Diceros bicornis minor: one gene and its partners. The protein of the gene in region 1 interacts with the protein of each later gene in a pairwise test. Links are inferred from orthologs where the notes say so. Each region holds a gene or a part of one and is shown in the gene's direction. Other genes may lie near its edges. The genes, in order: TFIP11; POLL; CCND3; cytochrome c oxidase subunit 5B, mitochondrial.

What was found.
Region 2: the proteins of TFIP11 (region 1) and POLL interact in binary tests that used the Homo sapiens proteins (3 or more experiments, as listed by UniProt). The two-hybrid records come from large-scale screens. The link is inferred for Diceros bicornis minor from reciprocal best matches to the Homo sapiens genes TFIP11 and POLL.
Region 3: the proteins of TFIP11 (region 1) and CCND3 interact in binary tests that used the Homo sapiens proteins (3 or more experiments, as listed by UniProt). The two-hybrid records come from large-scale screens. The link is inferred for Diceros bicornis minor from reciprocal best matches to the Homo sapiens genes TFIP11 and CCND3.
Region 4: the proteins of TFIP11 (region 1) and cytochrome c oxidase subunit 5B, mitochondrial interact in binary tests that used the Homo sapiens proteins (3 or more experiments, as listed by UniProt). The two-hybrid records come from large-scale screens. The link is inferred for Diceros bicornis minor from reciprocal best matches to the Homo sapiens genes TFIP11 and COX5B.

The regions. Positions count from the first base shown.
Region 1 is NC_080774.1:20,626,868-20,635,284, reverse strand, and holds the start of TFIP11 (tuftelin-interacting protein 11), read left to right. Parts: upstream 1-5,274; 5' UTR 5,275-5,344; intron 5,345-7,373; 5' UTR 7,374-7,382; coding exon 7,383-7,591; intron 7,592-8,417. UniProt on the Homo sapiens protein: Involved in pre-mRNA splicing, specifically in spliceosome disassembly during late-stage splicing events. Intron turnover seems to proceed through reactions in two lariat-intron associated complexes termed Intron Large (IL) and Intron Small (IS).
Region 2 is NC_080745.1:66,687,482-66,695,380, reverse strand, and holds the start of POLL (DNA polymerase lambda), read left to right. Parts: upstream 1-4,653; 5' UTR 4,654-4,699; intron 4,700-4,727; exon of another isoform or gene 4,728-5,519; 5' UTR 5,520-5,529; coding exon 5,530-5,689; intron 5,690-6,419; coding exon 6,420-6,714; intron 6,715-7,178; coding exon 7,179-7,341; intron 7,342-7,720; coding exon 7,721-7,899. Other genes in the region: protein DPCD, read right to left, coding at 1,944-2,009, 4,481-4,544.
Region 3 is NC_080753.1:23,495,514-23,503,905, forward strand, and holds the start of CCND3 (G1/S-specific cyclin-D3), read left to right. Parts: upstream 1-5,269; 5' UTR 5,270-5,387; coding exon 5,388-5,585; intron 5,586-6,462; coding exon 6,463-6,678; intron 6,679-8,392. UniProt on the Homo sapiens protein: Regulatory component of the cyclin D3-CDK4 (DC) complex that phosphorylates and inhibits members of the retinoblastoma (RB) protein family including RB1 and regulates the cell-cycle during G(1)/S transition.
Region 4 is NC_080779.1:15,641,483-15,648,661, reverse strand, and holds cytochrome c oxidase subunit 5B, mitochondrial, read left to right. Parts: upstream 1-4,620; 5' UTR 4,621-4,648; coding exon 4,649-4,751; intron 4,752-5,282; coding exon 5,283-5,356; intron 5,357-5,530; coding exon 5,531-5,630; intron 5,631-6,184; coding exon 6,185-6,297; 3' UTR 6,298-6,376; downstream 6,377-7,179. UniProt on the Homo sapiens protein: Component of the cytochrome c oxidase, the last enzyme in the mitochondrial electron transport chain which drives oxidative phosphorylation.

The DNA.
Region 1 (8,417 bases):
GGTGCGAGACCCAGCCCCACCCACCAGGGTGTGCTCTTCACCACATGGCCCTACTCCAACTTCAGTGCCTTCACAAGTCTGGATTATTCTCATCTGACCCTGTTCCATTGTAACAGCTGGTGTTTTAAATGGGTTGTTGGTTAACTTTTTTTTGGAAATAATTATAGACTCATGAAGTTGCAAAAGTAATACAAAGAATCCCACGTGCCCTTCATGCAGTTTCCCCCAATGCTCACATCTTATACAACTGCAGTGCAATATCAAAACCCAGAAATCGACATTAGTCCAGTGCTGCTGACTAGACCACAGACCTTATTCAGTTTTCACCATTTTTTGCATGTGTTTGTGTGTGTGTGTGTGTATTTTCAGGGTTTTGTTACCTTTTTTTAGTGGCAAAACCTTCCATATACCCTCTCCCACATAGACAAAATCACATCTAAAAGGTCAATCTATAAAACCAATAAACATGGCTGTTCTGATGAGGAGCCATCCTTGTCCCAAGCTCCAACTACTTCTCTCTGAAGCACTTTATCAAAGTCAGGGTTTTGCATTTATTGGCCTGGTGATTTGATTCAAGTTGGTCTTATGAGACTGTAAACTGCAGGAGTGAAGGGACAGTTATTTTTAATTGCTCCCCATTTATCCTCATTTCATATCTAGCGTATCAGGGCATGGGGGAGCCAGCTTCCAAAATGGCCCACAGTGATGCTTGCCTCCTGGTATCATGCTCCTTTTGTATGTTGTCCCTTTCCACACTGAATGGGGACAGGATTCCAGTTTAATACAGGATGGATGATTAAACTTGAATTTCGGATAAAGCAATGACTAACTTTTTAGTCTTTGACAGTATTTCATGGGACATATTTGTACTAAAAACTTATTTGTTGTTGACTGAAATTCAAATTTAACTGGGCATCTTCTATTTTTATTTGCTAAATCTGGCAACCCTAAATAGGGCTGACCATGCAGCCAGTAAGATATTCAGGGAAATGAGAGTGTGTGACTTCCGAGACTAGAGCACAGACCTTGTGGCTTCAGCCTTGTTCTCTCTTGAGTCACTCACTCTCGAGGGGGCCAGTCACCGTGTCATGAGGACACTCAGCAGCCCTGTGTCGAGGTTCACGTGGCAGGGAACTGAGGCCTCCTGCCGACAGCCAGCACCAGGCTTCCAGCTGTGTGAGTGAAACACCTTGGACATGGATCATCCAGCCCGGGTCAAGCCTGCAGATGATGACAGTCCCAGCTAAGGTCTTGACTGCAACCCCAAGAGAGACCCCAAGTCAGAACCAGCTAGCTAAGCCACTCTTGAATTCCTACCCAAAGAAATCATATGAGATACTGTTCACTGTCATTTCAAGCCACTAAGTTTGGAGTTAACTGTTACATTGTAATAGATATAATACATAGGAACCCACAAAATATTTGTTAATGAATGACTGAATGAATGAATCAATGAATAGATGAGTGATGAAGGCTGTGGTTCCTCAACTCACCTGTGTGCTTTAGAGGATGCGTGCTTTACAGATAATTCCCCAGGCCCACGGAACTTCATGTCCCAGCTTTTCTATATAAGGATAGAGTGTTCGCAAATTCTTGAAAGATAAGTAGGGTAGAAACCATCTGTAAGAAACATTTAAAGGGAAACCAGATCTGCTAATCTCAGCCGATCTGGATTTTCAATTCTGCCAAGTTCAGGGTACATTTTTGTGACAGAATTCAAAATAAGAATAAGCCATGTGCAACTGTATAATGTCACTGTCCTAGAAAAGGTACTTGTGCTAGACTTTAAATATCTCAGCTTTGAAATACCACTTACTGATTGTTTCTATGGTACCAAACTATTTAAAGTTGTAACTAGGCGAGGATTTTCCCCCCAGATCTTTTGAAGGCAATATGGAAACAGTGCTGTATGGCATAGGCCACATAAAGGGGTGATTAGGCGTGTGAACTCAGGGGGTAATAGAAACTACCTCAGAAGGTTAAGGAATCTAAGAGATGATGTATGGTTTGTCTTTGTGACTCTGAATAGACAGGAATCACTCTATAAGTATTAGCTCAAATAAGTAGAGAGAAATGGTGTGGGTGCCCCATGCATGGTACAGCAGAGGAAGCACTGGTTTGGAAGTCTGACTCCTGGGTTCCAGGCCTGGCTCTGTCTATAAACTCACTGTGTGGCCCTGGGCACATTGCCTCATCTGTGAAAAAAGAGGGAGGGACTAATGAGTGTCCGGGGGCCCTTCCAGGCTCCTGCTCAGGAGCCGTGTTGCCTAGCAACCCTTCTGGGAAGGCTACATGTCTGAGTACCTCATTGGGAATCTAGACACGGGCCTGGACGTCCCCGAGTCCCAAAGCAAGGGTTTTTCTGGGCAGTGACGAGAGACCAGGGTGGATATGAGATCCTGAATCTAAACTTCTGGCCACCTCTTTCCTTGCTTTTCCTGAGGTTGGGCATTTGAGCCCAGAAATCCTGAAAATCTACTCATCTTTGAGGCTGAGAGGCCTCCCGTGCAGAGGAATAAGACTGGGTCTTTTCAGTGGAAATAGCCACAACCATTTATGAAGCTCTTACTATACCAGGAACTTTACATGTATTAGTCAGCCTTTTTTTTTTTTTTTGTCCTAAAAATAACCCTTTTAGAGCAGTACCACTGTTATTCCCATTTTACAGGTGGGAGAACTGAGGTGCAGAGAGGTGATGGAACCTGCCCCAGGTCCCACATTCAGGAAGCAGCAAAGTGGAGATTTGGATCCTTGAAGTTTTACTCCAGAACCTTCATTTTGGAAAAAAATTCTAAGTTCATAAAGAAGACATCTTTTTCTCTTAATCATTTGAGATTGAGTTGCTTGCTGGATGCTCCACCACCCCCAAGACTTGAGTATTTCCAAAAACAAAGACACTCTCCAATGTAACCACAGGACAACCATCAAAATCAGGAAATTAACACGGACACATCACACCCTGGAAACCCCGGACCCCATTTCAATTTTGCCCTTTGTCCCAATAACTTCCTTTATAGCAAAAAGATCCAGTTCAGATTCATGTGTTGCATTTAGTTATCGTGTCTCTTTAGTTTCCTTCAGTCTGGAACAGTTCTAGGGTCTTTCTCTGACTTTCACAACATTGGCACTTTTGAAGATAACAGGCCAGATTTTGGGAGAATGTCCCCTTATTTGGGTTTGTCTGACGTATCCTCATAATTCCCTTCAGGTTATGCATCTTTGGCAGGAATATCACAAGAGTGATGCTGCGATCTTCTCAGGGCATCCTACCACGTGGTACGTGATTTTCATTTGTCCATTCTTGAGGACACACACCCTGGTCACTCGATCAGAGCCTGCAGTGACGCCACAACAGTCCACAAAGGTCTCTTCTCCAGAAGCCACATAGTGGGGTCCATTTGGTGAAGCAAACCCATCAGCCCCTCATGATCAAAGTAATTTCAGCTCCATAAAGTCTGCTGTGAAGCTACAGACATAGCTACTGAGAAGCCAAGCTTACTTCTATTTTTGGCTTTGGGCTATAAACAGAGGCATATACATTTTCAGGCCCAGACTCAAAATGGTTTATCTCATCTGTTTCCCTCAGTCTGCTGCCTAGTGGACATTTTGGTCTCTTAGACTCTGTCTCCCCGGCGTTCTCCTCTACTAAAACCTCACTTTCCAGTTTCTTTCCTAAGTACATACTTTGTGTCAGGCACAGTGACACTACATGTCACTGGGGATACAGAGACCAGTAAAGCACAGTCCCCATTCCCAGTAAGTTTTCACATATTGGGGTATATGGGGTAAGTATTTGATTCAAAACTAATTCAGCTTGAACTAAAAAAGATGCCTGCCTTTGGCCTATCAAACATACATTGTATATCTGCTTTAACCATAAAAGTAAAGCACGCACTCTCTTAAGAAAGTATCCTTCCTCTCCTACACCCTATTGGTAACGCCCATATTAGTACTCCTAAAATAAATTCCCTGTCCCGACATCAGGGTCATGTTGACCTGCTAATTTGCAACTAAATACCTCTTTGAAACTTTGATGAAAATGTATCCCGGGTGTGTTTAATATAAGTTCTTTGTTCTAAAAAGATATAAGACTGTAACAAAAACCATGTTTCTCCCCAAGGCTTTCTCTCCCCAATGCTTTCTTCCTGTCCTGAAAAGGCCTTCCCCAGCTATAACCCTCAGTCTGGCTCAAGTAAAACTCACCTCTCTCTCTTATCTATAGAATAGTTATTGGTTATTTTGTGTGAACACCAAGAACCTGGCATTTAATTGGCTTCACGGGATTCTCATTTAATTAATAACACCCACTCGAAGTTAGACCCAAATCTTTTCGCTCCAAAGCACACCAACACTTGCGTCTTGGATATTTTCATCATACGGAGGAGAGAGAGAAACAGAGCGAGGGAACATACGAAAACATTAACGGCTAACACTTCCCAAGCACCTACTGTGTACCTGGTTCAGTTTTAATTGCTTACATATTGTATCTCATTGGATCCTCAACCATTTTGCAGGAGAGAGAACTGAAGCTTCGAGAGATGGAATGACTTGCCCAAGGCCCAGAGCTGGTAAGTGGCAGAGCTGAGATTGGTACTCAGAGCCAGTGAGGGATTCCCTGGGAGGGCCGCTGCCTGGTTTGTTCATTGTATCCCCCGAGCCCGGCACAGAGTAGACAGTACATTTTTATTAGATCAGTGAATGAATGAATTTATTTATCAACCGGCTGGAAAGGAAGAGAATGGAGAGGCTTCCTGGAGGGAATACTTGGGACTTCTCGAGTTTGCCCATTCATTCCTTCACTCCCTCAAACTCCTACATAAGGCAACTGCTCTGTGCCCACGACGGGGCTTACCGGAGACCCAAGGACACAGGAGACAGTCCTGACCTTCATCATCCCCACCTGAATGCCGTGTTCCGGCCCCGCTACTGCCTCACGCGATTCCCCACAACCATCCCATGAGCCAGTCCTATACCCCCATTTTACAGATTTAGAATCCCAGACCGGCAAAGGCCACGGCGGCTCGGCGACGTCCAGCAGCCGCGACAGGCTGGGCGTCTCCACGGAGCGGGCGCGGCAGGGAGGCCAGCGCGGCCGGGAAGGCACCCCCAGCCTCTCGGGGGCCAGAACATCCGCGTCTTCTTTCTGGCGTCTCAGCCGGGCCGCTCTAGAGCCAAAGCCGCCGTAGCCTTCCGCTGCTGCCATGGCAACCAGCGCGCCACTTCTGCGGTCGCGCGACGTCATTTCCGGCGCGCCGGGCTCTGCACGTCCGGCTTCCGGCGTCCCGAGCGGCGGGGCTCTCGCGCGGAGCGGGGAGCTGTGTGTGGCCGGCGGGACCCGGGCGAGGTGAGCGGGCCGGGGGCCGGGGAGGGGGCGAAGGGGCGTCCGCGCCGGCGGGAGTGGCTGCGAGGGCTCGGGGAAGGCGGCCTCGCCGTGGGGCTTCCGTTTCGCCGACGGCTCTGCCGAGGGCGGGCCGCCCGGCGTCCCCGGGGAGTCGGGGCCGGGTCGGGCGGGGACCGAGCCTCCGCCGCGAAGTGTGCACAGCGGAGCCCGAGCCTGGGCTGAAGTCCCCGGGTGCCGAGCCCTGCCTGCCGCGGGACCTAGGGCAGGTCGTGTAACCGCGCTCAGCCTCGTTTTCCTTATCTGAAGCCTGTACGGAAACGCCGGTAGTCTCCACCTCGTGGACGGGTCTTGATGCTTGCATTATCGGCCTGAAGCGTCCAGCCAGTGCTTGGCGTGTGTGGAGGCCTCTCTAACTCGTGACAACTCTAATTATTACTCTGCCCAGCGGCGTTATTGACTCCCATGTAGCTGGGACCTCCCAGAACATCTCCCTCCTTGCACTCCTGGATGAGCGTGGGTCCACCAGCACCCAGCCAGTGCACCAGAGACTGGAACAAGCAGGGAGAACTGTGTAACAGAGCGGACCCGAGTGTGACACTGCCTGTGGCGGTAGTGAACTCCTGTCCCCAGAGGCTGCTTGCAGCAGCTGGGCGACAAGAATCACGTCGCTGTCACACAGTGAATGTATTACTGCGTAGTGCACCATGCTTGGCACTTCGTGTGCATTTAATACTCATACACTGAGTACCTGGTAGGAGTGGGATTTGAAGTCAGGCTGTGATTGTAGTACCTGATTTCACACGCACTTTGCTAGGTTCATTCCCTAATCCAGTAATAGTGATGATGATCCTAATCTTGGCACTCCAGTAACAGCTCTTGTTCCTGGAGCACTTATTCTGAGCTAAGTGTTTTTTAAGCACCATCTCATTGAATCTGACTTATAAGCATTCTCAAAGGTTGGTATAGTAGTTAATCCATTTAAGAGACAGCTAAATCTCATCACCCAGCTACCAAGAGTTGAATTCTCTATTCCAACCCATAGATGTCTGACTGCTAAGGTAGTGTTCATAATTAAGACTGCCTTCCAGCTCATCAGAGGAAAACTAAGTCTTAGGGTTTCATCATCAAGTAATGTATTTCAGAAAGCTTATTCTCAAATATCACCCTCCTGGGACTGCCAAGGGTCCAGTATAACTCTTTCCTCAATGATAGAAAAAATAATAAAGTGTAGGGTCCTGGAAGATGACCACCCAGTTTTGGAGGCAATAATATATAGAATAACATACTTATTTAGTTATTTTTGTGTGGTTTGTGTATATGTGAGTGTGTGATTTTTATGACATTGGGACTAGGAAATACATGCTTGAGAATCACGTAGACTGTTGGGACTAGTCTTTTCTTCCATCTGTTATCGTACCGATTGTTTTCTAAATGTTTATGCTGAGGAAGATTCGCCCTGAGCAAACATCTGTTGCCAATCTTCCCTTTTGTTGTATGTGAGCTCCCACTATAGCATGGCCACTGACAGACAAATGGTGTGGGTCCACGCCTGGGAACCAAACCTGGGCTGCCAAAGCAGAGCATGCAGAACTTAACCACTAGGCCATCAGGACTGGCTCTGTTCTATTTTTGCTGAGGAAGATTTGCCCTGAGCTAACATCTGTTGCCAATCCTCCACTTTTCGCTTGAGGCCCTGAGTTAACATCCTTGCCTATTTTCCTCTATTTTGTACATGGGTCGCTGCTACAGCATGGCTGACAAGTGGTGTAGGTCCGCACCTGGGATCCGAACCCACGAACCCAGACTGCCGAAGCGGAGTGCACCAAACTTAACCACTAGGCCACTGGGGCTGGCCCTTGTTTTCTAAAATAAGGTTTTAACGTCTGCTTTGTTGAATTTTAACAACGGTTTTAAGGGACCGTGAGTTTGGAGGAAGTTCTGAAGGCAGCAGGGAGTAGGACTCACAGGGAATCCTTCTCCTGCTATGCCCAGGACTCATCACAGACTGTGCCTTTTTCATCCCTTCCTTTAGTGACTGGCCATGTCACTGTCCCACTTGTACCGGGACGGGGAAGGCCACATGGATGACGATGAGGACGAGCGGGAGAACTTCGAGATCACCGACTGGGATCTCCAGAATGAATTCAACCCCAACCGGCAGCGCCACTGGCAGACCAAGGAAGAGGCCACCTATGGAGTGTGGGCAGAGCGGGACTCGGACGAAGAGAGGCCCAGCTTTGGAGGCAAACGGTACTGGCCGGCATGGGGCTGCCTCCTCTTGCTTTAGGGAAGACGGAGAGGGAGTGGGGGAGATACCCCCATAAATATACTTCTCTCCTGGCCTTACTGAGCCCCTGCGCTATGACATCAGCTAGGGAGGTCCTGTTTCCTCTTTAGGCTAGAGGGCTGCTCCTTCACTGATTTGATCATCAGTTGGTGTCTGTTGAGTGATTACGTGTATTAGGCATTGCGCTATAGACTCAGTCCTTGCCTTTCAAGATCCCAGACTCGAGTGGATGGAGACAGGCGTTAATTAACAACTCACACAATGGAAGTTCGTAACTGATTTAGGACCTAAGGGAGAGCACGTTTTAGGGTGTTGGACCTATTTGGAGAGGTCAGGAAGATTTCTCTGGAGAAGCCATCCTTGAGCTGAATGAAAGAACGTAACTAGGGTAGGAGAGGTGCGGGTAAGCAAAAACCCTTAACGGGAGGCCACAGGGTATATCCGCGAGGACGCGAAAGGCTTTGCGGGCTGGAGTGGAGAGAGGGAGGGGAGCACAGTTTGAGAAGAGGCCGAGGGTCTGTGGTAGAGGTGTGGCGTGGGGCGGGGCTGTGTCTGCACCCTTGGCTGGTGTGCAGAGTTGTCGTGGAGTCACAGTGGAAGATGGAGCTGTGTGAGGAGGCGGTGGTCCCTGCAGAGGGGGAGGCCTGGGCTAGGAGGGGGCAGGGAGATGAGGATTCAGGCCGAAAGTCCCCTCCTCAGTTTGAAGTCACGTGTGCACTGGCTACAGCTCGCTTGACCAGAGTGTGTAGCAGGTGTGGGTGTCTCCCTGTCGCCATCTGTGCCCTGTAG
Region 2 (7,899 bases), on another chromosome or scaffold:
GAGCCTCCCATGAACTCCTTGCCAACCATCACCCACCATTACTTTAAGATGTGTCCCGGGACTCACTTCCTTTCTGAAGCTTTCTCTGAACATGTCTTTGCTCTGCTGCTTCCTCTACCAGCAATAGCTCCATACTTCTTCCCATCTTTTGAAGAAATCCCCACTCTTCAAAATCAAGCTCAAATGTCACTTCCACTGGGAAATCTTCCTAAACTATCACTCCCAGCCACATTAGCAAAACTCATCTCTTCCCTGTTTGTGCCTCCCTAGTGCTTTATTCATATTCATAATGGAGCATTTACCACATAGTGTAATACTCTTAAAAGCATCTTTCTCCCCAGTTCCTAAAACCAAGCCTATGTGCTCAGAATATTGAAAAGGATATTGACCAAGCACTCCCTTTAGCCATGCCATTGCTCTGCCTTCTTTTGCACATCTCTAGGCCATTCCTATCACACAGCCAAACGATGTTAGTCCCCATGTGTCTTCCTCATGGCATTTACCTTGGTTATGATTTTACATCTATTTGTGTGATTCTTTGATTATTGCCTGTCTCGTCTACTAGACAGGAGAGGTTTTATCCCCCCTGCCTATGGTTTCCCTAACACCAAGCATAGTACCTGGCATATATTATGTGCTCAACTAAATACTGATTGAAAGAATAGATGAACACTGATTCATCTTTCATTGAAAAAAATGGAATAACCCAAGGGAGTCTCCTAGCCCAACTCTTTCACCTATCTAGTATAATCATAAGCATTTTCTTAAAAGTGGCTATGTAATTTCCCCTATTTTTACAGATAGGTAAGTAGATATAGGTAGTTCCTGAGTGAGACTAATAACAGAGGACTAATGCCCAGTAGACGGTTTCCCAAAGTATGCTTGACGAATAAGAGCCCCAAGGCCCCTAACCAGCTGAAGGTGCCACTAGCTAAAACCTGCAACTGTATCTGATCTACCAAGCCTTTTTCCTGTCCAATTCACTTCCCTGGGACACACTTCCCTTGAGTAGTTCCTAATTTGCATTCTAGGGAAACTTCCCCAAATTTGCAGGGCCCCTCAGTACGCCCCTAGGTCACACCACCCTTAATCATTTGGATGGCTCATAGAGCTGGAAGGGGTTTTCTTGTCAGGAGTGGGGTACAAGGTGCTGCCTGCAAGTAGCTGAGGGTGTATGGCCTGACCCTCTTCTCCCCCTGCAGTCCAGTCTTGAGTCTAGGAAGGATGCAGTGCTTACTACTGGCCAGGCACTTTACATGTTTTATGGCATTTAATTCTCACAATAATCCTATGTGCCCGCATTACCTGTATTTCACAAATGAGAAAAATTGAGGCTTAAAGGTCATGCAACTTGTCCAAAGTCATAAAGCTAGGAAATGACAGACCCAGGCTTAAACTCACTTGAGGCCAAAGTCCATGCTCTAATAACCACACTAGGATAATTTGTATGGCTTTAAATATTTGTAAGGTTGAATATTGTTCCAAGGGTTTATTGGTCATGTTTCTAGTGAATTATCCATTTAGGCCTTAGCTTATTTTATTTGGGTGTTCATCTTTTTCTTACTAATCTGATTGAGCTTTGTATGTATTAACCATGTGTCATATATGTTGCAAATACTCTCAGTTTCAATTGCCTTATAACTTTGTTTAAAGTGGGTTTTCCCAAACAAGTGTTTAATTTTTATATAGTCAACTACTTTTTCTTTTGTGGTTACCACCCAGAAGTTATGCTTACAATATCCTCCTTTACCCAAAGATTATATAATATTTATTTATATTTTATTCTATACATATTTATTCTATATGTATATATGTATGCAGATATAAAAAATTTTAAGTATATTAGTATGATATTTTGGTAAAAGAAAAAATATATATGTGTGAGTGCATATGCATGGAAAAAAATATAGAAGTTTATGTATGAAAATGTAAATTATGATTACCTCTGGAAAGCAGGATTATGGGTGACTTGTTTATTTTTAATATTTCCACAATGAATACAAATTTTTCTGAAAAAAATTTAAAGCGTATCAGGTTCTCAACATTGTTTTGTGATGCTATTAACAAAAAAAATTTAACAAAATCCTGGCTGATGAAATATTTGTTTGAACATTGTCCTGTGACCAACGGAAGTGAAAGCAGAGACTAGAACAGATATTTGTACACCCACGTCCATAGCAGTATTAGTCACAACAGCCAAAAAAGTGAAAGCAACCCAAGAGTCCATCAACAGATGAATGGATAAACAAAATGCGGTATATACATACAATGGAATATTATTCAGCCTTAAAAAAGGAAGGAAATTTTGACACTTGACAACATGGATGAGCCTGGAGGAGATTATGCTAAGTGAAATAAGCCAGTCACAAAAGAACAAACATTGTATGACTCCACTTATATGAGGCTCCTACAGTAATCAAATTCATAAAGACAAAGTAGAATGGTGGTTACCAGGGGCTGGGGATAGGGGGAGTGGGGAGTTAGTGTTTACTAACATTGAAGTAGATGAAAAGTTCTGGAAATGGATGGTGGTGATGGTTGCACAACAATGTGAATGTACTTAATGCCACAGATGTACACTTAAAAATGGCTAAAGGGGTTAGTGCTATGTTATGTATTTTTTACAATAAAAACAAAAACCACTGTCCTGAGACAATATCCAAAATCTAGCTTGGCATAGGAGAGCTATCACAAAATGCCCCAATTTATCTGCAATCTCTCTTCATTTTCCACCATTTCCCCTCATTACTCCTTGAGAAAAGAGACCTGTTATTCATCCTTGCATCCTAGCACCTGGCACTTGACATGGTGTGAGGGATTGTTATGACTGACGGGGTGAATGCTTCAGCCTCACTAAATATTTTGTTACTCCCCTAGTAATCAGCATATATTTTCACACCTCCATGCCTTTACACGTGAGCCATTCTTCCTGGAACAGCCATGCCCTCTTCTCTACTTAGCAAACACCTATTAATTCTTTAGGATCCATAAACATCACCTCTTCCCTCAGGTCTTCCTTCAAAGAGATGACTTCCACCTTCCTGCTCTCATAGCATTTTATAGAAGATTCCAGTCTCTATTTAACACATACTATTATTTATTTACATGTCTTTTTCCTGACCACTCTGTGAACTCTCGGGACAACATGTCTTTTTTTTTTTTTTTTTGTGAGGAAGATCAGCCCTGAGCTAACATTCATGCTAATCCTCCTCTTTTTGCTGAGGAAGACTGGCTCTGAGCTAACATCTACTGCCGATCCTCCTCCTTTTTTTTTTTCCCCCCAAAGCCCCAGTAGATAGTTGTATGTCATAGTTGCACATCCTTCTAGTTGCTATATGTGGGACGCGGCCTCAGCATGGCTGGAGAAGCGGTGTGTCGGTACGCGCCCAGGATCTGATCCCGGGCCGCCAGTAGCAGAGCGTGCACACTTAACTGCTAAGCCACGGGGCCGGCCCCAACATGTCTTTTTCTGTCTACTCTAGTACACAGCTTGGCACATAGTAAAAGCCTCCCTAAATACTGCATAAATGAATAAGTGAATGAGCAGCTGATTTCAATTTCCACGCTTCCCTGATTGGCCTCTGTGTATGGATGTGAATCCCTAGCTGGTATCCTGAAAGCTAAAGGAATTCAGACCTAATTCATTCTGGCTGCCAAGTGGGTCCAGGAAGCGACCCTGACGCACAGGGAGCCTCATACAGTCCAATCCTAGGGTGAGAGAAAGTCAAGACGCTATACTCCCATGCCCACCTCTTCCAGGCACAGCCCTGGGCCCTTGCTCTGTCTCCCCTAAAGACCCAGGCAACATTTACAGGTTCACTTACAAACATAACACTACAGCTGGAAAGGACCTCAGAGATAACAGAGGTAGCCCATCCATCTCATTTTACAGATGAGGAAAGTGAAGTCCAAACAAGTCAAGGGCCAGACTGGGAGCCCACGGTGAATTAATGACAGAGTCACAATTCTGTCACAATTCTAAAGCCCAGGTTTCCCGCCCCTCCATGACACCAGGCTGCCTTCAGCAATAGAACCCCTAGATGGAGGTTCATGGGATCCCAGGTACAAATCCAGTTGTACCACTGACTGGTTGGAGCAGCTGAGGCTGGTCTAAAATATTCTTGAATTTCCGTTTCCTCTTCTATAAAATGGGGTGGATATTAACAGCCTCTCGGGACAGCGATGAGGAGCAAATAACATATTGAATACGAAGGGAATTCTTATTTATTAAGTAACAGAACTCAGAGCGGAGTGGGGCGGTGTAGAGGAAACCAGGGGGTGTCCAGAGACGCGTGTTCCAGTCACATCATCTCTCTGGGCCTCAGTTTCCTCATCTGCAAATGCAGGACCTGGCCTGGCTGGCGGCCGCGACCCTTCCAGCTCTGCCGTCCCAGGCTGAGGCCCTTTCTTGGAGGCACCACCGCGGAAGGCAGGACTCTGGGGGAACGGACGAGGGGACTCGCGGGGGGCCTCGAGTTACCGTCCTGCAGTAGCGCCGTCTTCTCAGCCGCCCGCAGACTCTCCAACCAGCCTGTCACCGCCATTTTCCCTCCGCCCAGTCGCGCGCCCGGACGCTGCCATGGCAACCTTTCCGCCTAGGGTCACTTCCGGCTGACCCGGAAGGTTTCTGGGCATTTGCCCGTCCCCCCCCACCCCCGCCCCACCGCCCACGCCTTCGTCCGCTCTTAGTGGCCGCTTGGTAAGTGGTTTATTCCTGGCCACCCCCGGGTGACCCGCGGGGACTGAAGTGGAGCCCACCCGGGACCGAATCCCGGGAGGGGGAGGGGGCAGGGCCCCCTCAGGTTGGGGTCTCGACACCCCAGTCCCTCTGTGGTCCCCAGCTGTGAGTCCCTCATGCGCGCCAGCTGCGTACGCGGCGGATGCCCCACACCTGCCGGAGTCTTCTCTACCCCCAGCTGTGAGGCGGAAACTTCCCCAGTCCCGGAAGGCGCCCCACACCAGCTGCGGCCGTGCCCCATCTCCACGCAGCTGCGGGGCTGAGCACCCGCATGCCAAGAACCCGCGACTAGGGCAGGTGCAGGGCGTTCCCACTGCCCCCCTAACCACCCCCAGGTTTTCCTCTGTGGGTCTCTGATGGGGTTAGAGAAAGATTATGTGGAGTTTATGTGCCCCGCAGCCTCCACTGCTCTTGGGAGCTCAAGGGCTTACTAAAGCTGTAGCTTCGTTTCCTAGCCTGGCGTCCCCTTTCGGTAAATCCCTTTGGAAGTGGGATGCAGCAGGGGCAGACACTGCGCTGAATCTTGAGAGCGACCTCTCTGAGGAATGATATCGTTTCCTTACTCTCAAAAGTTCCCCAAATAGCCTCACTCTTCCCCCCATATACCCCAATACTCTGGCTTGGAAAGGCTGGTGAGTGTAGAGGTAGGCTAAACCACTGGCGTTCAATTTGGTTTTGGGAGACCCCTGGGAACTGGGCTACTGCCCCCAAGGCCTAATCAATAGAGACCCCACCTCTATAGGCAGAGGGGTTGGGGAACCGCAATTCTGGGTTTCCACAGGACAGCTGTTATGATCAGCTCTCAAACAGAAAGGTCAGGATCCAGCCATACCTCAGTGGACCCCAGGGGCATCCTGAAGGCATTTCCCAAGCGGAAGAAAATTCCTGCCAATTCATCATCAAAAGCATTTGCAAAGATTCCCAAGAGAGAACACGGAGAAGCAGCAGGAGGTGAGCAGACCCACCCTCAGAACCCTCATGTGCTTGAACTCTCAGGCTTCCTACATTGTTCATGTTCAGAATCAGATGTTAGAGCTGACTCTGCCCACCCAGGGCCTGCAGGTTTATTTGTACTTGCCTGGTGCTAGGCTTGGTCCCAAGTCTTTGACCGGCCGCTGGCTGGGTATCTTCTACCCCACCCGAGACCTCTATCAATCAGAAAATACTCCCTGGTCACTAAGGAAATGACCAGCAGAATCCTTTGCTCTCAAGGAGGTGGGGGGAAGAAATCCCACTCAGGTCCCCAGAGTTATAAGTTATTTTGCAACCAAATTGACAAATAGATGGCAAAGACCTAAAAGGGGGTGGGGAGGGGGAATCTGTGAGACTGTGAGGCCTGTAATGGCAAAACATGTGTGCCTTGTGCCTGGTACACAGTAGTAGGTGTCTATTAATATTTGTTGAAAGAATAAATGATCAGATGAAGTGATTTATAGGATACCTACGATGTGCCAGACACTGTCCTAGGTTACACGAGGGAACAGGACATATCAAAATCCTTGCCCCTTACATTCAAATGATGGCCCATGAGTAAATTAGCTATATGCTTGTGGTGGAACCTTCAGAAGGCAGGCTGTCTGGATGGAAGGAAAATGATTGTCTAGGGGCGGGGGACTGCAAAGGGTTCTTTAGGATATATGTGAAAGTTATGACAACAGGCATCTGGATGTCCCCTCCACAGAGTGGCTGAGCTCCCTGCGGGCCCATGTAGTGCCCACTGGCATTGGGCGAGCCCGGGCAGAACTCTTTGAGAAGCAGATTATCCAGCATGGTGGCCAGATATGCCCTGCCCAGGCCCCAGGGGTCACTCACATTGTGGTGGATGAAGCCATGGACTGTGAGCGAGCCCTCCGTCTCCTTAGACTGCCCCGGCTGCCCGCCGGTGCTCAGCTGGTGAAGTCAGCCTGGCTAAGCTTGTGCCTGCAGGAGGGAAGGCTGGTGGACACGGCAGGATTCAGCATCTTCATCCCCCACAGGTGGGCTGGTCCCAGTCTTTCTTCAAGTGTTTTCTGGCAGCATCTTGAGCACTCTTCTTGGCTTATTAAAAATAACTCTCATTGTCTTAAGTGGACACAGTGGAAAACCAAGATTTCATAGTAGAGAAGGATTGGGAGGGGCCGGCCCGGTGGCGTAGTGGTTAAGTTCGCACGTTCCACTTCCGGGGCCTGGGGTTCGCTGGTTCGGATCCTGGGTGCGGACCTACTCACTGCTCTTCAAGCCATACTGAGGCAGCATCCCATGTGGAAGAACTAGAAGGACCTACAACTAGGATATACAACTATGTACTGGGGCTTTGGGGAGAAAAAAGAAAAAGAGGAAGATTGGCAACACGTTAGCTCAGGGCCAATCTTCCTCAAAAAAACAAAAGAAAAGAGAAGGATTGGGGGCAGAGATAGGGTGAGATCTTTGGTGTCTTAACCTCCCATCACCATCCCTGTAGGTACCTGGACCAAACACAGCTCAGCAAGGCAGACCAAGACTCTTCTACTCCTCCTAGAGCCTGTGAGGCTCTGCTCCGTACAGCCCTCTCTCCTTCCCCTTCTCCTACCAGACTTGTGTCTCCTCCCCGGAGGGCAGAAGAGGCTCCAAGCATCCAAGCCCAGGTCAGGAGCCTCCCAGCCCCGACAGCTCCCTTCTCCTAGGAATTAGATCACAGAAACAGGGAGGGCCTGGTAGAGTTGTTCAGAAAGTCCCAGGCCCCTGCGAGAGGAGGGTTCTCTTTATTATGAACCACTTAGTTCTTCCCAGCACTCATCACTCCTGCATTTGCCCAGGCCATATCCACCACATACCACTGGGGATGCCAGGGCTGGGCTCTGGGGGAAGCCACATGGAAGACAGCCCCACACTTAAGGAGACCCAAGTCTGATGCAGAAGACCCAGCCTCATTCTTGGATCTTACCAGGAAATTCGTCCCCACCGACAAGGAGCCCTCCTCATGGGGGCAGGAATTTATTCTCTCTTCTCCTTCCCTACCTCAAGCCTGTCTCTGATGATGAAACCAGTGATGGGGAAGAGACCCAGGTTAGCGCAGCTGAGCTGGAAGCTTTGATCAGTGGCCGCTACCCTACCCTCCTTGAGGAAGAGGATGAGCCTTGCCCAGCTCCTGAGGGCCTGGATAAGTGGGTCTGTGCACAGCCTTCGAGCCAGAAGGTGACCAA
Region 3 (8,392 bases), on another chromosome or scaffold:
TGTCCTTGAGGAAAGGCAGGATAGGATTAAAAAGAGTACAGTTTGGGCTGGCCCCATGGCTTAGCGGTTAAGTGTGCGTGCTCCGCTGCTGGCGGCCTGGGTTCTGTCCCGGGCGCGCACCGCTTCTCCGGCCATGCTGAGGCCGTGTCCCACATACAGCAACTAGAAGGAGGTGCAGCTATGACATACAACTATCTACTGGGGCTTTGGGGGAATAAATAAATAAATAAAATTATAGAAAAAAAAGTACAGTTTGGGAAGCGCTACATAGACCTTCAGTAAGTTATTTAATTCCATTGTACCTCAGTTTTCGCATCTGAAAATAAATCTGAGAGGGTGAGACAGTGGATTGTAAACACCCTGACCAGTGCCTGGTACATAGTGACATCTCAATTCATGTGGATCGTCTTCCCCTTTCCAGGAACTTACACTCGGGCTAGGGAGAGAGCAGGTCCAGAACCAGCCAAATGCAGGGCATGTGCAGTGGGATCTGCAGGAGTTTGGAGGCCAGAGGGTAGGTTCCTGCAGCTGGATTGTTCTAGGAAGGCTTCCTGGAGGAGGTAGGACCTGAACTGGGCCTTGAAGATTGAATACATAAACTGAGAAGAGAGGATAAATGGGCTGACCAGTGACGGAAGGGGGACTAAGGAGATGGGGAAGGCAATGAAGAACCTGCTAGGTTTTTAGAGGTCTACAGAGAAGATGATTCTGCTACTCTTTTTCTCTTTCTCATATCATTGTCTAACTGGAGTCTTCCCTGCTATCTAACTTACATCCCTCTTGCTGCAGTTGAAGGACACTTCTCCCTAGAAGTGGAGGGCAGTGGTTATTTCAGACTAAATGAGCTTTTGGTGTCTTGCTTAAGCACCTTTTTACCTGATATTGGGGTAAAGACCAGGTGAAGTTCCTTAGACAAAAGTGGCAGGAATTCTGAGGGCCAGTTCCCAGTAAAAGTCTTTAGCCATAAGTAACCAAAAGAAGGCATCATCTAAGATGCAAGAGCCAGGCCCAGGGGTGCTCATGGCAGGGAAGTCAAGGGAAATAAAGAACAGATTGTTAAATCAGGGCGGTGGGACACAGTGGCTGATCATTTGGGAAAACTAAAGCTAGACCCCCACTTAATATGATACCACTGAATAAATGTAGGTGACAATTTACACATTAAAAAAAAAAACAACAAAACTTTATTGTATGTACTCTTGAAAATGCAGATTTTGGGGGCCTCATCACATACTCAAAGAATGAAAAGCCCTGAGGCAGGACTCAGAAATCTGCATTTTTGGCAAGCTCTTTGGGTGATAAAAAAAATCATCTGTAAGTATTTCCTACATTTTCTTCTAGTACTTATATAACTTTAGGATGGGGAAGGCATGATTCAAAGGCAAAAATCATTAAAGAAAATATCAGTAAATAAGGCTACATAAAAATAAAAACCTTTTATTATTTTTTTTAAATTTGTAACCACTTTTATTTTATTTTTTTATATTTATTTATTTATGTATGTATGTATTTATTGAGGAAGACCAGCCCTGAGCTAACATCTGTTGCCAATCCTCCTCTTTTTGCTGAGGAATATTGGCCCTGGGCTAACATCCGTGCCCATCTTCCTCTACTTTATGTGGGACGCCACCACAGCATGGCTTGACAAACGGTGCATTGGTGCGCACCCAGGATCCGAACCTGTGAACCCTGGGCCGCTGCAGTGGAGCGCGCACACTTAACCGCTACGCCACCGGGCCGGCCCCATAAACCTTTTATTTGTTAAAAAAAAAGAACTTCACCATGAACCAAAAATGAGACGGAAACAGTGAACTAAAATTTGTGACAAAGAAAAAAGTATGAAAAAGGGTTAATGTCCTTAAAATATAAAGAGCACTTATAAATCAATAAGAAAACAAACATCCCTATAAAAGAATGGACAGAAATATGAATAGGTAATTAATTTACCTAAGAAATGTAAATAATATGTCAAAATATTATTACCAATAAATCACTTTTCATCTCTCGTTTTCTTTCTCCATAAAGAAAAGTGGTATATAGGCCGGCCCCATGGCTTGGCGGTTAAGTGCGTGCACTCCGCTGCTGGTGGCCCGGGTTCAATCCTGGGCGCGCACCGATGCACCGCTTCTCCGGCCATGCTGGGGCCGCGTCCCACATATAGCAACTAGAAGGATGTGCAGTTGTGACCTACAACTATCTGCTGGGGCTTTGGGGGGAAATAAATAAATAAAATTAAAAAGAAAAAAAAAGAAAAGTGGTATATATATATACAATGGAATATTATTCAGCCACAAAAAGAAGGAAATCCTGCGATTTGCAGCAACATGAATGGACTTTGAGGGCATTATACTAAGTGAAATAAGACAGAGAAATACAAATACTGTTTGATTTCACTTATATGTGGAATTTAAAACTCCTTACTCATAGAAATAGAGAACAGATTGGAGGCTGTCTGAAATGGAGAAAGGTGCTCAAAAGGTACAAATTCCCAGTTATAAGATGAATAAGTTCTAGGGATATAATGTACAGCACGGTGACTATAGTTAACGATACTGTATTGTATATTTGAGTGTTGCTAGGAGAATATATCTTAAAAGTTCTCATTCAAGAAAAAAAATTATAACTATGTGAAGTAATGGATGTTAAACTTATTGTAATAATTTTGCAATGTATACATATATTAAATCATTATGTTGTATACTCTAAACTAATACAATTGATATATGTCAATTATATCTCAGTAAAGCTGGGAAAAAATTTTAAAACAATGGTGATTAACTCTCTCATCAAAGATACACAGTCTGGGCCAGCCCGGTGGCTTAGCGGTTGAGTGCGCGCGATCCGCTGCTGGCGGCCCAGTTTCGGATCCCAGGCGCGCACCAACGCACCGCTTCTCCGGCCATGCTGAGGCCACGTCCCACATACAGCAACTAGAAGGAGGTGCAACTGTGACATACAACTATCTACTGGGGCTTTGGGGGAATAAAGGAGGAGGATTGGCAATAGATGTTAGCTCAGAGCCGGTCTTCCTCAGTAAAAAGAGGAAGATTAGCATGGATGTTAGCTCAGGGCTGATCTTCCTCTCTCACACACACAAAAAATACACAATCTTCTAACCTGAACAGTCCTATTCGATAATTCTGAAAGTAAAGAAACACCTTCCTTCAAGACAGATCTGGTTTCTGGTGATGTACTTACTTCAAAAGCTAGATTTTTTTAGTCTTCCTGCACCTTAAAAACCTCTTACACTTCATTTTTGCCTCCCCATAATTTCATACCTAATCTTTATAATTTTAAATCTATTGTTCTTTTTAATGAAAGAGTGCAATGCAATGAATAATTAGCTAAAGAAACTTCATACTTATATTTCTGAAGACAGGAGTAAAGGACTTACAAGATTAGACAAAGCACGTGACACATTCATGTTGGCACAACAAGGGCTCTTGAATTAAAAAATATAAACCACTTTTCATCTCTCCAGTTGGCAGAGTTGTGGTTTTTTTAAAATAGATATATAATGTTTGTTCATTAGATTGGTTCAGCCTTTCAGCAGGGAAATTTGGTAATAAGAATTGTATCAAAAGCCTTAGAATGTTTCATAACCTTAGATTGAGAAATTCCACTTCTAGAAATTAATTCACTTCTAGAAATAATCATGAGTCTGCACAAAGATATTACCACAAAAATATTTTACATATTGTTTCTAATAGAGAAGAATTTCCACCAATACAGATTTGGTAAAATGCATTATACATTCACCGAATGGCATACTGTGTAGCCATTAAAAATAATGTTGTAGCATATTTAACGACATGGAAAAGTGTTAACAGTATATTTTTTATTGACAAAAATAGCTTACAAAACAGTTTGCGATCTCATTTTGAAAAATATGTGTTTACTTATAGAGCAATTTTAGAAAAATAAACATTGACGTTTTAAAGAGTTATCTCTGGATGGTGAAATTGCAAGTAATTATTATTTTCCCTTGTTTTGTGTGGCTTATCTGTATTTTCTAAGTTTTTGCAATGCGAATGAATATTTCCATGATTTGGAAACTACAATAAGATTTATTCTATAAAAAAGAACAATTCATTGAGAAAATGCTTAACATAGAACTTGCCTTTTCTGTCCAGTGTCATTTCTCTAGTAACTCACTTCCTTAGTGTCTCCTCCCTTGGGAGGACCCCAGGAGAGGCAGAGATCCCCAAGGCCTCCTTCCATTGGAGCATAACTGGAGGCCTGTGGTCTGCCTCTTGGTCCTGTGGAATCCAGCTTTGGGGAAAGTTTGGGAGGTAGAAGAAATGGCAACTGGAAGATTTTGTAGAGTCTGATCAAGAAACTCCTTCAGAGAGGATCTAGTTTCTCCGCCCACTCTTTCCTCAAACAGAAACTAAGGCGGATTTCAGGGCTTGTCCAAGGCCACAGAGCCAACTTAATGACAAGGTGAGGCCTTGAATCCATGGCCTTTCCGCCCTGTTGTGTTTCTGTAATGTGCTGATTTCGACCAGCCCTTCTCACGCTTTAATATGCGCAGGAATCACGGGGATCTTGTTAAAATGCAGATTTTGATCCAGCAGGTCAGGGGTGGACCTGAGGGTCTGCATTTCTAACCAGCTCTCAGGCGGTGCAGATCTTGCTGGTCTGGGGATCCCAGTTGAAGGAGCAATGGCGTAGAGCACAGATTCTGGAGGCAGACTGTCGGCTGCCCAGTCCCAGCTCTGCCGCAGACTGACTGCATGATTGTTATAGTTACTGTGCTTCAGTTTCCTCGTCTGCAAAATAAGTGTAATACCTAACTCATGGAGTTTTCGTGAGGATTTAATAAGTTATTACACTTTAAGTGCTTAGAACAGTGTTCACTAAGAACTAGTTATTTTATTATTTATAGTCCCTGGAGCAAGCAGTGGGTGAAGTAGGGTCTGACGAATGAATGAATAACCATTGCAGAAAAGTTCTTTCCTGGGCAACTAGAGACAGAGAAGCAAAATGGGAGGGCTCTTTGCTGGGGAAGAGGCCCACCTCCAAGATAGTTCTCTCCACTGGGTGGTCAGAAGGGCCCGGAGCGCCCGGAAGCCGGCCGGCCCGCGCCGCGCCGACCAATGCGGCCGCGGGGAGGGAGGGGGAGCGCCCGCCAGCCCTTTCCGTCTGGGCGCCGGCAGCCCCGCCCCTTGGAACGTTGCGACGCTCGAGCATTCCACGGTCGCTACCTCGTCGCGAGGGGCGGGGCGCCTGTCAGGGAAGCGGCGCGCGCGCCGGCGCGGGCGGGCTGGGGCTCGGCCGCGCAGTGCCAGCGCCAGCACCAGACCCGCGCCCCGCGCTCTCCGGCCTGCCGCCTGCGTTCTGGCTCGCGAGCCCGCACTCTCGCCCTGCCTGTGCGCTGCCCGAGGATGGAGCTGCTGTGCTGCGAGGGCTCCCGGCACGCGCCCCGGGCCGGGCCGGACCCGCGACTGCTGGGGGACCAGCGTGTCCTGCAGAGCTTGCTCCGGCTGGAGGAGCGCTATGTGCCCCGCGCCTCCTACTTCCAATGCGTGCAGAGAGAGATCAAGCCGCACATGCGGAAGATGCTGGCGTACTGGATGCTGGAGGTACCGCCGGGACGGGTCTCCCCTCCCCCTCCGCCCCTGCGTCCCCGGCTCCGGACATCCCGGTGCCGCCCTATAGGGACATCCTGGTCCCAACAACAATCAACAAGATGCTTCGGTGGTCCAGACCCCCGGTTTGGCCTTCCACTCGGGCACCCTAGCCGGCTGCCTCCGTGGTGACCCGTTCCCTTCCCCAGCCCTGACTCTGACTGCCAATCATTTGGCACCCTAACCAATCCCCTCTTCGGGCCAGGAAAGCGGGACAAGAGCCACCCTCTCCCCTCCGGCTTCTCTCAGCGTCTCCTACTTCCCTCCCCCGCCCGATCTTCTCTGGAGTGCGCGCCTGGAAAACCCTGGGCTCGGCCGCCCCCGCCCCAGAGCCGGTTCCTGTGTCTGTCGCGGGGTTCTGGCGGGGAAGGCGGTGGGGGTGGCGCGCGCGCTGTTCCGGCCGTCAGGGAAATGAAAAGTGCGGGAGGCAGCGGCAGGAGTCTCCTCCCTTCCCTTTGGGTGTGTGCAGTGGGTGGTGGTAATGGGGGTAAGGTCCCAGCTCTCTGGCTAACATGGGTGACTCTTCCGTTTCTCCCCCTCCCCCCCGCTATGGGGGAGGGGAGTCTCAGTTTGGAATCCTTATTAAGGAAAGGAGCCTCTGGCGTCCCCCACCCCCCAGGGGAGGGGGAAGGAGGCAACGCGGAGGAAGTGGGGGGCGTCACCTTGGGGAGGACGCATCCTCCTCCGTATTAGTCCTTGACATTATAAGTACACTTATCCCCCTCCCATTTTTGCTCTCCACTCCATCTCCCGTCAGCACACCCCCCCCCCCTTTAGTACTGCTGCGTTTCCCACGGCCCTGCCCAGAAGTGACTGTGCCCACCCCCCCCAGGTATGTGAGGAGCAGCGCTGTGAGGAAGAAGTCTTCCCCCTGGCCATGAACTACCTGGATCGCTACCTGTCCTGCGTCCCCACCCGCAAGGCGCAGTTGCAGCTCCTGGGTGCGGTCTGCATGCTGCTGGCCTCCAAGCTGCGCGAGACTACGCCCCTGACCATCGAAAAACTGTGCATCTACACCGACCACTCTGTCTCTCCCCGCCAGCTGCGGGTGCGTGCATGACTCCCCCCACCCCCAACACGTACTGCCTCCTCACTTACCAGGAAAAGGAAAGCTAAGGCCTCAGAGGCTTTCTGCCCCCTGGGGAGGGAGCATGGCTACCAGAGGGCAGAGGCTATGTTTTTGGACAAAAGATGGGGCTGTGTGGTGTGATGGTTAGGGTAGCCCCAGCCCCAGTGGCTTGAGCTGCTGGCAGGAACTAAATCTCCTTCTCCTGACCTCCAGGGGGTGCCATTCCTTCCTGGTCTTTCCCCCAGATCCCAACAAGTCCAACTGCATGTCTACACTCCTAGTACTTTGCCTCTGGGTTTACACAGCCACCATGAGTTATTTATTGGCAGTAGCAGGACATGCCTGTACACCCCCACTGGAGTGGGGGAGTGGAATGTGCCTCATGTGGGGGAGGGGGGCTGCTTTGGTTGAGTCTTGATCCCAGTGTGGACTTTGTGATTGAAAAGCCTCCCAGAGCAGATTAAAGCCAGGCCCTGATTGCTCTAAGGAAGGGCCAAGGAGTTTCATCCTACCTTCTTTCCTTCCCCTTATATCCCAGAAGAGACGGCTCCTTCCTAATCCTCCATTCCCTGTCCTCATTCTGAGGAACTTGAGCAGCTGCTTTGGGCCTGGTAGAACCATCTCTCCCTTTCCCCCTTAGCCAAAGGCCAGAGCTGAGGGACAGACAGGGAGCTGAACTGCAGCTGCTTCCGATGTGATAATGATGCCCCCTCCCCTGGCCCGCCCACTCTGACCAAGGTCTTTCATAACCCTGTGGGGAGCTGCTGTCACTCCTGTGGTTTGGGAAGTGGCTCCCTGGGCCTCTTGCTGGGAACTTGGGCTGGGCTCTTCCCAGGGCAGGAGGGCAGGAGGGCAGGAGGGCCCCGGGTTCTCTTTCCCCACTGACCCTGGAGAGGAGGTGGCAGAGCTGCCTGGATCTGGAAGAGGTTATTCGGGGCATGCAGATCATCTCCTGGGGAGGCCTGGGGGAGAGGGTGGGTGAGCTGGCACCTTCCCCCACCCTGCTCTCTGTCCGCCAAGTCTTCTGCTGACCCTGAGAGGAGTCTCTGGGCCCCATCTCCAGGGGAGGAGGGCAGCATGCAGGCTGCTGTGATTGGCTGGCCAGGAAGCCAGGGTACTGGGGCCCCCGACTGCTGCTTGTCGAGGAACAGGATTCCTCTTCCTGCCAAGTAGCTCTCCGAGATGGGAGTAGGAGGCCAGAGTTGGGAATCTGGGAGGCCCCACAGCTCTTTGTGATGAATCTGGTAGTTTTTGGCAAGTCTGAAGGTGGAGCTGGTTTCCAGGGCTGGCGACCAAGATGTTTCCAGAGGGGTTTGGGCTGGAAGGTAGAAGGGGACTTCCTTTTTGTGAAAAGACTGGGATGGTATGTGTGTCTTTGTGTGACGGGAGTTTTTCAGAACAGGCAAAATGTACTCTTACTCTTCCCCCACTCCCTCTGCCTGAGCTGGGGGTGGAGCGTGCAGATGGCTTCCTAGAAGGTCAGAGTTGGACGGGATCTCAGAGAACTCCAGTCAGTCCAAATCCTTGTGCAGCAGAGAAGGTTGAGGCCCAGAGGAGGAGGGAAGGGTCCTGCCTCAGCCTTGCACTGAAGCCAGTGAGGAGAACGTGGGTCTTCTAGCTAGCCCAGGTGGCCTTAAAGGCTAGGGATGTGGGGGAAGCTGCCAGCCACTGCAGCTCATCGCCCCCAAGGGTA
Region 4 (7,179 bases), on another chromosome or scaffold:
GAGGCTGAGTGAAGTACAAGAGGGGCAGAGCTGGGGCTTAAGAATAGCGAGTGAAAGAGCCGCCAAGCTCCCAACATCAATGGCTCGGCCAAGGGTGACAGTCACAGGCCTGTCATGGTGTATGGTTTTCTCCAGCAGCGCTAGCCACCTTGGAAGCAGGAGCCCAGAAGATAAATGGCTGGGCCAATTTAGTATTGGGTACCAATGGGCAAGAGAGCAAGGAACTGAGAATGCCCGTGACAGTGTGGTTGCACCATCTGAGCAGGGGATTGTCCCAGGTAGAGACCATGCTGGTCGCTCCCTGTCTGTCCCTCCAGACCCACCCTGCAGCCTTCTCTCCACTTTCTGTGCCTGAGGGGCTGTCCTCCATGGCTCCCATCAAGGGACTCTCTCACCCTCTGGTTTCCAGTTAGGTTCACTGGCAGGACAAAAAGGGTGGGAGGAGAGAGATGTCTGCGTTTGTCCGGCACCTCCACCCCGCCCTCTCTGCCAAGGCTCTGCTGCTACAGCTCTCACCAGGTGCCAATACCGCCAGGCCCAGAGTGGTCAGAGCGTCCCACCGTGGCCGTCTCTGGTCCTCACCATCCCTTGGGGCTCCGTCAACCCTGCACATCCCTCTGCAAGCAGTTCTTTACTAAACTCTTCCATGTGGTTCAGTGGGGCCCTAACAGACTTAGGAAGAACAGGGGCTGGCCCAGCAGGAGGGGGTGGAGGCTGGTTGAGGAGGGGAAGGAAGAGGTGAATGTGGAGGAAGAGAGGAATATTAGGATTTCCCAGGTGGAGCTCAAGTTCCTCTCTGGAATAATAAATGGAGCTCGTGTGTGTGTGTGTGTGTGTGTGTGTGTGGAAGATCAGCCCTGACCTAACACCCGATGCTAATCGGTTTTTTTTTTTGCTGAGGAAGATTGGCGCTGAGCTATCATCCGTGCCCATCTTCCTCTACTTTATATGGGACGCCGCCACAGCATGGCTTGACAAGTTGTGCATTGGTGCATGCGTGGGATCCGAACCTGCGAATCCTGGGCCGCTGCAGTGGAGCGCGCGCACTTAACTGCTTGCGCCACTGGGCCAGCCCTAAATGGGGTTCTTTTGGATTGGGAAGGGGGGTCAACCGGTGAGAGAAGGGTCCTGGGAGGGGAAGGGTGGCAAATTCATGTTTTCTCCTGTGTGAGGTGCCCTGTGCTGCCCCACCAGTTCACTAGACTCCTTTTGTTTCTTAAAAAACCACACACACACACACACACACACAAAACCTTTAACTAAGAAGCCTCCTCTGATCTCTCTCAGCCCCAGCTGCAGCCAGGCCCTCCTGCTGACTAAAGGTCCAAGTGACCCATTTTGGATTTGTGGCATCTCAGTTGGTTCTGACCTGGCTTTTCTGCTGGAAGGGTCCCAGCTCTCAGCAGCCTGCTGGAGGTTCAGCCACTTTGTCACATCTTCCTCAGGTCTCCTTAGAGGGCCCTCGGGGTCTGGGCTGTCCCTGGCTGATATGGGATCTGGGCAGGCCTGCATAGAGCACCATCTCCCCCAAGCCCATTTTAATTAAAAACTGGCCTAACTTGTACCTTTGTGAGTGGTCAGGGCCTCTGATGTTGGAGCTGCTCCTTCGGGCAACAGAATTGCAGATTAGGCCCCATTTTTGACCCCATTACTTTAAGCTTGTGTGAACTCTGCCCAAACCAAGAACAACCTCCTGCCCTTTCTACTTTAAGATAGATTCAAGGCAGAACCCACATTTTACTCACTCCTGAATAGTGACCAGCCTAGGCCCATAGAAAGGACTGGATATAATCTTCCTAACATTCTAAGAGTCTGTAAGTCAATAAGATAATCTCCCCAAACAAGAATATGAATAACCAAGAAATGTTTATTTCATTTCTGAATACGTAATACATTCACATAGTTAAAACAAAACCCCAAAATAGTATAAGAGGTCTCACCCCCACCCCTGCCCTCAGCGGCCCAGTGTCCGTCCGACCCATTGTCCCCCCACTTCTTCTGCCTCCCCTCCCCAACGCATACAGAGGTAGCTACTTGTGTTAGCTTCCTGTGCATCCTCCCAGAGTTCCTCTAGGTAAACACAAGCAACTATGAATATACTGAATAGAAGTTTTTAAGCCAGCATTAACTGAGCGCTTACAATGTGGTAGGCACAGTTCTGAGCGCTTTACAAGTGTTAACGCCTTCAGTCCTCACAACAGCACCAGAGGTAGGTGCTATGCCCATTTTAAAGAAAATGAAACTGAGGCAAAAGGAAGTTAAGGAGCTTACCCGAGTGGCTGAGCCCGGCAGTTCACAGTAGAGGAAATGTAAATGATCAATAAACATATGACAAGATGTCAGCTGCCTTAGAAGTCAGGGAACTGAAAATGCAGACACCAAGAGCATCTGATTTTTTACTCATCCCTGGGTGAACTTTGCACAAGGCCCGCAACTCGCAGGCCATGGCGGTAGGGACTGGCACTTACACACCCTGCTGGCGGGAGCATGAATTGCTTCCAACTTTTGGGAAAACAACCTGGCAGAATTTATGATAATGTGTAATGTACACACCCTTTGACCTTATTGCCCAGAAACGAAGGCTCCAGAATATAAGGCTATATGTACACAGACATGCACTGCAGCATTGTTTGAGAGGCAAAAACCTAGAAACCATCAGATTATTCATCAAGGGGGAAATGGTCTGGGAGATTACAGTACATTCATAGTGGGGAATATTATGCAGCAATTACATAAAATGAGTTATATCTGTATGTATTGATTTATGATGTCCACAAAATATTTTTTTAAGTGAAACAATCTACTTACTAATAATTTGCATAGTAGTTATATATTTTTGTGTCTTATATTCATTTATATATCTGTACACTTTTAAGAAACATCCCAAATGTGTGCAATTGTTTGACTATGTCTATATGAGCATTCAGCAGTGATTCTCAGTCGAGGGCAATTGTGCCCTCTAGGGAACACAGGGCAACGGGTGAAGACACTTTTGGTTGTCCCCACTGGGGAGTGCTACTGGCATGGCTGCTGAATGTCCTACAATGCATATAGGACAGTCCCCCACCCCCATGCCCTGCAAAGAATTATCCAGTCCAAAATGTCAACAGTGCTGAAGTTGAGAAACCCTGGCATAGAGAGAAGAAAAGGGTAAGCACAAAACTGTTAACAAGTAACTTTTTCCTTACACATACATGTTGTTTGACTTAGTATAATGTGCATTTTTGACTACTAAAAATTATCCTATAAAAGTAAAAAAATAATGCTCAATAAGTTTGCTTTGGCAAAGACAATGATGGAGCAGGAGTGGGAGACTGCTCTCCAAGCCAAACTATTTCCCAAGGAGACATTAGGGGGCAGGGGTGTGAGCGGAGGGTGGTGGGAGCTGGAGAGAGCAAGGGATGGTGGGGGTGGGGGGTGCCTGGAGCCTGGTCCTGACAGTCGAGCTCACTCGCATAGTGTAAATAATCCCAGGGATTTTGTGAGCTGAACAAGGACCAGCAAAAATGTCCTAGGATTAGGCGAGCCTACTATGAGAGTGAGAAACAAGCTTAAACTCTATTTCCATTTCATAGTCTGGAATGAACCATCTTATGGTCAGGCGGCAGGGACTTGTGACACACCAGAACTGACATTTCTCACTGGTCCGCTGAGAGTTGGGTTAGTAGGTGTTTCTTGGCAAAGAGTGGTCAATTAAGATGGTAAAACTCTGGCTTAAACCACAGGTAAATTAAACAGGATACTCTGTTTCAGGCCTAATCAGAACCTTTAATATGCTAGAACGTGCATCTCCAAGATGGTGGTCATCAAATGCAAGACTTCCGTGTCTTGTGGCCCCAGAACGTTCTGTGACTCCTTTTCCCATTATCAACACCCCTCCCTTAACCTCTCCCTTGGTTAATTAACCTCCCGGTGTAGTCACCCCCTCACTCCCACATCACCAAGGGCCTTGGTCCTGGGAGGGGTCCTAAATCTGGCCCTACTCTCCTCCCCTCCCCGGGCTCCGCCTCAGGGCTGGACCTCAGCGCTTGTAATGACCTCCTCACCCCAACACAACTGTCACAGGAAACTGATGCCAGGACTGCGGGGAGGTCCTGCGCAGGTTGTTCAGGACTGGGCGATGGAACAAGTTCGCGGTGGCTCACCCACTGCCAGGCGAACCAGCGTAAAAGTCAACACAGTGGCTTTCAGGAAGCTGCTCCTAAAGTTCAATCGTTTGGGGTCCAGCAGGTGTCGTGACAGACGCGGGCTTAAAGACTTCATCAGCAGCCTCCAGGTTTACCGAGCACAACTATCAGGCAAGACGCACAGGAACTCGAGTATGGTTACCCATTCTACGGACGAGGTCACTGAGTCCCACGGACGCAAAACGAGTCGCCCCAAATCTCAACATTAGTGAACAGCTGGGCCGCAAGAGCCTACAACAGACCCCGTGCCCGCCCGCACACCACCAGGGCTGGGCAGCGGAGGCAGTGAGGCAGAGCTGGGCATGCGCAGCCGTCGTCGTCCCCCGCGAGTCACGTGAGCGGGGCGGGCTCCGGGGCGGACGGAAGCGGAAGGCTGAGACGGAGGGGAAGATCCCGCCCCCGGAAGTCCCGCCCGCCTCTGGAGCCCGTTCTCGGAAGTGCTGTTGTTTGTAGCGGGCGTGATGGCTTCAAGGTTACTTCGCGGAGCTGGAGCGGTGGCCGCGCAGGCCCTGAGGGCGCGCGGTCCCCAGGGAGTCGCCGCGGTGCGCTCTATGGCGTCTAAAGGTACTCGTCCCGCCGGGCACGCCGGGGACCGGCGCCGTCGCCCTCCCGCGGTGGGGCTAGGGCGGCAAAGCGGGGCTGACCGTTCAGCTCCTCGGGGCCCCGGTGACCGCTGCGCAGCCCCCGCCGGCGTCTCCCTGTTGTTCCTGGCTGCCCCTGCTGCCGCCCTCCGAACTGACCCTGCTGCGAAAGACTCCTAAACGGAGATGCCGGGTGACCTTGGGGGACAGGAACTGCAGCGGGATGTGGGAGGCTGAGCCGCCGTCAGACCTGCGCCCACCTCAAATCGGAGGAACCCCACTAGGACTCTGATGGGTCTGCTTTTAGGAAAAAAATGTGTCGAAAACTTGGCCTCCGTGGTTGAAGGAAGAAAAGATTCCCCCCCGTGCTGCCACTTTTGGGGATCATTGTCTTGGGGGACAAGGTGTATGAGTAGCCTTTAGGAGCTTACGAACTGTATGCAAAGATTTATGTATGTGCGTTTTCCGTCGTGATCATGTCAGACGACATCGTAATTCACGGGTCTTCCTTTAGGTGGTGTTCCCACTGATGACGAGCAAGCGACTGGGCTGGAGAGGGAGGTCTTGGTGGCTGCACGCAAGGGACTGGTGAGGAGAAACTCCTTTCTGTGTCTTCTCTGGAGCTCGTGGTCTTGGGTGGGATCAGAGCAGTCCCCTCTCTGGGAGCATTTGATGCAGGAATCCTGGCTGGTGGGAATAGTACCGCTAGCCTCTGGAGGGTAGGGGTCATTTGGCATAACGGCTCAATTCTTGTTTTATCAGGACCCGTACAATATACTGGCCCCAAAGGCAGCTTCAGGCACCAAGGAGGACCCTAATTTAGTCCCCTCCATCACCAACAAGCGGATAGTGGGCTGCATCTGTAAGTACCTTGCCACTGTTTACTTATCCATTTGTTTAATATATTCTACTATACAGCATGTCTGTAAGCTGCTCCATATCTTTTGCATGTCTATAAAGAGGAGATGTGTGTAAATGAGTTATTCTAAGGGTCCTGGCCCTCTCAAGCCTCGTTAGTCTGAGTAGGTCATCCTTACTGTAAAGAGACATAGACCATCATTAATACTGGCTCATTGGCGATGCAGCATGAAGGAGTACTCCTGCAGAAAATATTGTACTTCCTCTTTGCCAGACACCATTTGAGGCACTAGGAATACAGCAGAACGGACGCTGCTTTGGGATTCTATTTAGGCAGTGGAACTGTTAGAACTATAGTGACTCTGATACGAGGTCAGTTTACTCACAGGTAAACTCAGGGCCTCAGTTTCTTTATCTGAAAAGTGGGGAGGAGAGCTTGAACTGATCTCTTAAGATGTCAGCCATAACTTTGTGCCTCAGAGGTGTCTGAGGATGAGACTAATATTGCAAGTCTCCCCTTCTAGGCTGGATGGCCTTCAACCACCTTTTTCCTTTCAGGTGAAGAGGACAACAGTGCTGTCATCTGGTTCTGGCTGCACAAAGGCGAGACCCAGCGATGCCCTAGCTGTGGAGCCCATTACAAGCTGGTGCCCCACCAGTTAGCCCACTGAGCCTTTGCACTAACTTACTCAAAATGTGCTGTAAAGTTTCTTCTTTCCAGTAAAGACTAGCTATTGCATTGGCCTCTTCTCCCATAGTTGCCTGGTCTTATTTCTTTTCGGTATTTTTGGGAAGGCATGGGTGATGCTTGTATCAAGAATAGCTGTCTCCTAATATTAGCTTATTATCCACTTGCATACACCGAGATTGACAATCTCATAATACAGTGCTTGGGACCACCTGGTATGGGGAAAGCATGGGCTGTGGAGCCAGGCTGACTGGACTTGTAAGAGTGGCTCCCTCATTTAGCTTTGTCACTGGGGGCATGCTCTCTGAGCGTAGGTTATGTCTACCAAAAAAAGATAAATACCTTCTGAGGTGTTAGAGGTAATAATAACATATAAAGAGCCTAGCAGATGGTAGGTCCTCACAGTATTATTAGAAAGGGACCTTGTGAGGAGCGTTTTGGGGGCTTTAAAGTCTTGAGGGACTCAGGTTTAAAACATAGTTCATGGGGATACCATCAGCAAAATCTAGAATATGGGACAATTCCAGAAACCAGTGACCAGTTTCTTCAAATAAATTGCGAGGAGGAAAGAAAATGTAGAACCTGTCACGTGAAATGGTTGTGAGGGAGATACCAAGAGCAATGCGTGGACTGTTTGGATCTTGATTTGAAAAACCAACTGTAAAAAAAAAATATGTAATTTGAACTCTGGATATTCAATATTTAGGGATTTATTAAATCTTAGTTATTAAAATTTATTAAATTTTAAATCCAAAAATTTAGGGATTTTCATTAAATTTTAAAATTTAATGAAATTAAGTTTTTAATGCTTTAGAGATATGTACTGCGGTACTGAGAGGTGAAACATGTCTGGGATTAGCTTTAA